2 linked regions of the Sus scrofa genome follow. The protein of the gene in region 2 interacts with the protein of the main gene of each other region in a pairwise test. Links are inferred from orthologs where the notes say so. Each region holds a gene or a part of one and is shown on either strand. Other genes may lie near its edges.

Region 1 (3,648 bases), on a different chromosome or scaffold from region 2:
TAGGAGACGGGGCGGTGGGGACAAGGGGTTTGGTGTGTCCCCCACCCCACCCCCCACTAATACTGATTAGAGAGTCTGGCCCTGACTGGGCCAGGGCAAGAAGGGGGATCGAGGCCAGGCCAGCGTCTTCATTCCCAGCGGCTAGGAACCCTTCACCTTGGTGAGCAACCTGTGGTGGGAGTGGGGAGGAAAGAAAAACACAAGAAAGCTGGGGTGGGGGAAGTTCCCATCGTGGCTCAGCGGTTAAAGAACCCGACTAGCATCCATGAGGATGGGGGTTCGATCCCTGGCTCGCTCAGTGGGTGAAGGATCCGGCGTTGCCGTGAGCTGTGGTGTGGGTCGCAGACGCGGCTCGGATCCCGCGTGGCTGTGGCTGTAGTGTAGACTGGCGGCTACAGCTCCGATTGGACCCCTAGCCTGGGAACGACCATATGCCATGGGTGTGGCTCTAGAAATGGCAAAAAAGAAAGAAAGAAAAAAAGAAAGACGGAAGCTGGGGTGGGCTGGCAGGCAGGCGTCCTGAGCAAGCGAGGGGGACTGGTGAGGCTGGTAGTCCCGGGGTTAGTAACAGAGCCCACGCGGAGACAGCGGGTTCTCTGGGTCAGAAAGCTACACGTGGACTAAATAAATACAACATCTTTATTTGGCATTGGGTATCCTGACATTTGTTCATTACAGTTCCTTAGAAAACAAACCAAAAAAAAAAAAAATCAGAACAAATTAATCAAAAATAAAGATCCAACGGCCCTATGTACATATAGCAGAGACAGCCCAGGCATCTCCCAAGCGCAAGTGTGCACTAGGTGCACGCGCGTGCGTGCGCGCGCGCGCACACACACACACACACGCACGCACACACGCACACATACCACATGTACCCTGGGAGACGGTTAAGGGGTTAATAAGCTTTGGGGAGTGCAGGGGCTGCTTCCACATTTCAGCAATTTAAAGACACCCCTCCCCATGAAGGAAGGGGGCCTCTTACAGCCACTGGGGGATCACAAGTGTGGTTGGCAGCTGTATCTCTCCTCTCGAGATGTCTCAGGACACAACCCTGCATCCAGCAGCTGACAGTGTCAGAGATTCCATGAGATTAGGTCACTTCAAGGACCGCCCTTCCCCACTTTCCCCCACACCCTGAATCAATTCATCTGATTACACCACGAGTCCCCAAACCACGAAAAAAAGGACCCCTACGGCACCCTCCCCTTGAATGAATGGGCTGATGCAAAAACCTCAGCTCTCCCCCTGCTTCCTCTCTCCCTGGGTGCTCATAAGAGGCCCATTTTCAAGTCCCCACATCAGGGAAGCTGCCCCAAGGCCACGAAAAACTGAGCTGCTAACACGATCCAGTGTGGTCATCCGGGAGGAGGGAGGCCTCAGGCTATGGGAAACGACCCCTCAGGCAGGCATCAGTCATGACTACAGAGCTGTAGCATTTTTGTCCAAATGTGACCCTACAAAGGTAGAGGGGTCGCTGGCAGGGACTCTCCCAGGCAAGAGAGACAGGACACCTCTGGCTGAGGGGGACAGACAAAAAAGGCCTTGAAGGACAATCCCCCCAACCCAGTTCCCAAAGGGGTTAGACTGGGACCGAGGAGGCAGCTCTAAAAACCCCTGGTTTTTGCCCTGCCCTCGTCCCACACCCTTCCGGAAGTCTCAATGACCTGGAAGAAAAGACCCTTCCAACCCCAGAGGAGCCAGGCCCCACCCCCGTGGCAACCTGGGTCCTGCAGATGCCCAGCCCCCTCCACCCAGCACCCCTCCCTGTCGACCCCCCCACCGCCGCCAGCCCTCACTTCACCAGCACTGACTTTGGCAGAAAGGGCTCCGTGCTGAGGTCTCCGCGGTGGGAAGACAGCTGCGGTGGCGGCGGCTGCCCTGGAGGCTGCTGGTGGGTGCAGGGCCCGGAGGCAGAGGCGGAGGTGGAAGCTATGGCTTTGGCTGCACCGCGGGGAAGGCTGTAGAGGTAGACGGCACCGATGACCAGCCCAGCGCCAAGGGCAAACAGCGGGTCCACGTGGAAGCCGAAGAGGCGGATGGAGGCAACGGTGGACAGCACAATGGACAAGGAGGTGGCAAAGCCCTTGAGGATGTTGTCGGCGTACTTGACGACGACAGCCACTAGGAGGCCGCCGAAGGCCTGGTTGAGCACCACGCCCCAGACGGCAGGCGTGTACCCGAAAAAGAAGCCACGGCGGGCCACAGCAGTGCCCTCGGCCCACCAGAGCCCCACCAGGCCCAGCGCCGTGCCGAAGAGGCCCAGCTGCAGGTTGCGCAGCCACACGGAGCCTGAGCTGCCTTTGAGGATCTTCTCAAAGTAGACACCTGCGAAGCCCGAGGAGAGACAGGAGGCCACGACAGCGGCTAGGCCCGCCCCAGGGTTCTGATCCAGCGGCCGAGGGCCCCCACCGCCGGCTTGCTGTGCCTGCACGATGGCGACGCCGGTGAAGAGGAGCAGCAGGGAGGCCCACTGCAGCCGGGACAGGCTGCGGTTCAGCATCAGCACGGAGAACAGTGCCGTGGTCAGGATCTTCAGCTGGTACGTCACCTGCGAGAGGCATGTGGAAGGCACTGAGGGCTGCTCCCGGCTCCCCCCACCCCCTGACATGTGCATGCGGGGGATGGTGCCCACTGTGGGCCCCCGGGCACGATAGAGGGCGGGGGAGGGCATGGGGAGATGCCAATAAAACCCGCAAAAATATCCAGTCGCTGCCCACAGACTGGGATGCGGCTACTAAATAGCTCTGACGGCTTCTGAGAAAGGACACAGGAGGATGGCTGTGCAAGGATGTCCCGGGCCAGGCTCGAGTCCACGTGGCCCAACCCATGTCCTAGCTGCAGGATGAGGGACAAGCACTTGCCCTGTCTGAGCCCGGCCATCGTCGGCATCTGTAACTATGACTGCCGTACATGAAACACCTCCCACTACAGGGAATGCATGAATGGTAAAGACCTTGATGTGAGCCGTATTGGTCTTGGTAAATACATGTTGATACAAACGAATCCACCACAACATGATGTCAGGAAACGTTTCCATCAAGCTCGCTATGGGCCGGGTGTGGATCTAAGCACTTCACATGCATTCTTTTTTTCTTTTTTTTTTGCTTTTTAGGGCCACACCTGCGGCATATGGAGGTTCCCAGGCTAGGGGTTGAATTGGAGCTATAGCCGCCAGCCTACACCACAGCCACAGCCACGCGGGATCGGAGCCGCATCTGTGACCCACACCACAGCGCACAGCAACGCCAGATCCTCAACCCACTGAGCAAGGCCAGGGATCGAACCCACAACCTCATGGTTCCCAGTTGGATTCGTTAACCACGGAGCTATGACGGGAACGCCCTCACATGCATTCTTTTATTTAATGCTCACGTGTAGACATGGGCAGTGTTGGTCACATCTAAGTGAAAGATGAGACAAGGCACAGGGAGGTTAAGTCACTTGCCCAGTATCACACAGCTGGAAAGGAGCAGAGCTGGGATGTGAACCCAAACAGCTCAGCCCCAGAGTCCAGGCTCTTTAACCAACTCACAAGGCTGCCCGTAAACAGCCTAGAGCTTATCTCCCAAGGGCTCTTCCCAGGTATTAGTTCTTTTAATCATCCCAGCATCCCAGTGAGTAGCTACCAGTACCACTTCCATCCCC
Region 2 (3,648 bases):
AAATAAATAGGGGGAGTTCCCGTCGTGGTGCAGTGGTTAACAAATACGACTAGGAACCATGAGGTTGCGGGTTCGATCCCTGCCCTTGCTCAGTGGGTTAATGTTCCGGCGTTGCCCTGAGCTGTGGTGTAGGTCGCAGACACGGCTCGGATCCTGCGTTGCTGTGGCTCTGGCGTAGGCTGGCAGCTACAGCTCCGATTAGACCCCTAGCCTGGGAACCTCCATATGCCGCGGGAGCGGCCCAAGAAATGGCAAAAAAGACAATAAATAAATAAATAAATAAATAAAAATGGTATAGCTAGATATTGTAGTATCTTAGGATACATTTCTCTTTTATTTTTTCTTTTTTGTTTTTTGTTTTTTTTTGTCTTTTTGCCTTTTCTAGGGCCACTCCTGAGGTATATGGAGATTCTCAGGCTAGGAGTCTAATCAGAGCTGTAGCCACTGGCCTACGCCACAGCCACAGCAACTTGGGATCTGAGCCACATCTGCAACCTACACCACAGCTCATGGCAACGCCGGATCCTTAGCCCACTGAGCAAGGCCAGGGATCGAACCCGCAACCTCATAGTTCCTAGTCGGATTTGTTAACCACTACACCATGATGGGAACTCCAGGATACATTTATTATTTTTTAACACAATAGTCATAATGATTCCCTCTTATATGTTTTTAGTCTTAACAGGCTTTGAAACTAATAACAAATATGAAATCAAGAACAGCCTTGGACAGAGGATTTACTTTGCAGCAGAGGACACTGATTGCTGTACTAGAAACTGCTGTGGGCCTTCTAGGCCTTTCACCATGAGAATTCTTGATAATATGGGCCGAGAAGTCATAACTCTGGAGAGACCACTAAGATGTACCAGCTGTTGTTTCCCCTGCTGCCTGCAAGAGGTTGGTAAGCAAGTGCCAGGGTAATTTTTGCAAATATTTTGCAAAGTAATCCTGCAGGAATTTTCACCTCATCATTGAATTTATGGAATCAAATGAGATTTAAAGGAAAATAAGTCCATAAGCTATTGGTTTTTGCTTGAGAGTAAGTTGTACAGGAAGGAAGGCAGGTGAGAAAGAGTGAACAATTAGCCCCATGTCCCTGAACAGTGCACATCCTGGGAGATCAGAGGTCTCAGAGGCCAGACTTCTTGATCTTCAGGGAGAGCCGAGAAGGCAGGGCACCTTAGTGAAGTACCCCACCTGAAATGACCATGAGGGGCTTGGCCAAAGCCCAAGGAGGACACCCTGTAGGATATCCTAGAACGCCATCCCAGAGGCAAGTGAACAAAAGAATGGGGAAAAGCACAGATACGTTCATCTCAATTTTCGCCAACCTACAAGGACCAAACCTAGCAGAGGCTTCCTCTGAGAAATTTCAACTGCTGTTGTTTTCAGTTCTCCACTGGAAAAAAGTACTGTATTTGAGTCCCTGCAATATGGATGTGCTGGTTGTGAACCCCTTCAGCTCTAGAGAGACCAGGTGTCTCTTTCATAGTACTTGACAGCCCTCTGATAGAGAACACAGATCTCAGGGAGATGCCAGTGCACAGAGTGTTTATAGGAAGTTGGCCTTTGCCTAGATCCCCACTGACCTGAGCCCAGCACTGCCTGGGTCACTCGGTCATCCGCACAGGGAGCTGTGAGAGCAGGGCAGACAGAGACACAGGCACATAAAGATCTGATGTCTAATACTGCACTTATTTTGAAAAGATAAAAGAACTTATTTAAACTGAATTTTGGTTTTCATGTTATTTAATTTAGATGTGATAATATTTATAGGAATAGTTGAGGGAAAACTGATTTGATAGAATATTTTCCACAATTTGTAGAGCACATTAGCATACTTTATACTATTGGTTTTAATAAACAGGAAATCCTCATTTACAGATGAACATGCTGAGATGCTCTCAGGGTCACCCATACATTTTTCCTAAGTATAAAAAATTTAAAATCTAAGAGACCAGTAGAGCAGTGCTCAGAGTGGGGATTGTGAGTTTATAGCTCATCTTCTACTTTGCATCTGGGGAATCTGATGCAAGTTAGTTAGCCTCACTGTTCATCAGTTACTTCCTCTATAAATAGAGATGATAGTACCAACCTGGTAAAGACATGGTGCGAACTAAAACAGTGCCTAACATTAGAAGGGGTTCAGTAAATGAGAGTTCTTACTAGACATTTTTATGATTACAATTTATATATTCTTTTGCTTTTGTAGATAGAAATCCAAGCTCCTCCTGGCATACCAGTAGGTTATGTTACTCAAACCTGGCACCCATGCTTGCCAAGGTTTACAGTTCAAAATGAGAGGCGAGAAGACGTACTAAAAATTACTGGTCCATGTGTTGTCTGCAGCTGTTGTGCAGATATTGATTTTGAGGTAAGAGATGTGATAATGTTTATAGGTTTTGCTTTCTTAACATAAGAATAATATAAACTTAGAGGATGTTACAAATGTATTAAGTAAATATGTATGCCCTGATTCCTCAAAAGGGACTCAGTGTGCTCATATATTTATTTTTTGTCGGGGAGATGGTTATGGCTCTGATTAGGTGTCACTGTTGCTTATGCTAAATGGAAAAAAGAAAAGCAGAACTTTGTAGTCAAGTAACTATAAACAAAACACCTAACATTTAAACATGGTGGTTTCTGTATGGAGGCATTGTATATTACCCATTTTAAACAGAACATTAACCTTGTCATTTAAGTCTGAATGCCAAAGCTTACAGTCCTTTCTTAGTCTGAAACACTGACTGCCAGTACTCTAGGCCCTCTTCAGAAGCTCTAATATCTTTGAGTTCCTACGAAAACTCAATTATGCAGAAAGAATTTTAACAAAGATAATGTAAGAGGTACTACCTAATTATGCTTTTTTTTATTTTTAATAGTCATTTCCCCAATATAATTTTTTTTTCTACTGTACAGCATGGTGACCCAGTTACACATACATGTATACATTATTTTTTTCCCATTATCATGCTCCATCGTAAGTGACTAGACATAGTTCCCTGTGCTGCACAGTAGGATCTCATTGCTAATCTATTCCAAAGGCAATAGTTTGCATCTAATTATGCTTCTTCATGATCATGCTTTTATCCTCATATTAAGTTCATTCATTAGAAATCACAATATGTGTGTATATTTACTACCTGGAGGAATTTCATCACAGCAGTTTTTCATCAAGTGGGGCCCAGCTTTATGGCTCAAAGTATTATTTAGTTGCAAATGCTTAAAAGTTGAGAGATTATAAAATCTATCTTGCTATCATGATTCTTTCATATAAGCATAAAATCTGTTAAACTGGACCATTTCTACAGAAGGGATAGAAATCTAAAACTGAACAGAGCTGTCCCCTTATGATAAATAAGATATGGGAATTCTGCCACTGTCCTCTGGCTTCCCAAGGTCTCCCATTATTCAGCTTCATTCTTTTATATTATCTGCCTGGCTTCTCTCATAATGATTTTTAATTCCTCTGTTATATAAGGATGAATTACTACTCTCATTGACCTCAAAGTCTAACGAGAGAGACAGGAAATTCTAAGAAAACATGTATGATGTATATAGAGACGCTTATAAAGGATGCATATACTGTGTGTGTGTGTGTGTGTGTGTGTGTGTGTGTGTGTGTGTGCATGTGTGTGCATGTGTGTG

The links.
Region 1: the proteins of PLSCR1 (region 2) and SLC35A2 interact in a two-hybrid assay, tested with the Homo sapiens proteins (2 studies listed by BioGRID and IntAct). The two-hybrid records come from large-scale screens. The link is inferred for Sus scrofa from reciprocal best matches to the Homo sapiens genes PLSCR1 and SLC35A2.

What each region holds. Positions count from the first base shown.
Region 1 is NC_010461.5:42,981,960-42,985,607, forward strand, and holds part of SLC35A2 (UDP-galactose translocator), read right to left. Parts: intron 2,552-3,648; coding exon 1,815-2,551; coding exon of another isoform or gene 1,796-1,814; exon of another isoform or gene 622-1,795; intron 170-621; coding exon 142-169; coding exon of another isoform or gene 1-141. UniProt on the Homo sapiens protein: Transports uridine diphosphate galactose (UDP-galactose) from the cytosol into the Golgi apparatus, functioning as an antiporter that exchanges UDP-galactose for UMP.
Region 2 is NC_010455.5:86,846,363-86,850,010, reverse strand, and holds part of PLSCR1 (phospholipid scramblase 1), read left to right. Parts: intron 1-676; coding exon 677-897; intron 898-2,212; coding exon 2,213-2,374; intron 2,375-3,648. UniProt on the Homo sapiens protein: Catalyzes calcium-induced ATP-independent rapid bidirectional and non-specific movement of phospholipids (lipid scrambling or lipid flip-flop) between the inner and outer leaflet of the plasma membrane resulting in collapse of the phospholipid asymmetry which leads to phosphatidylserine externalization on the cell surface.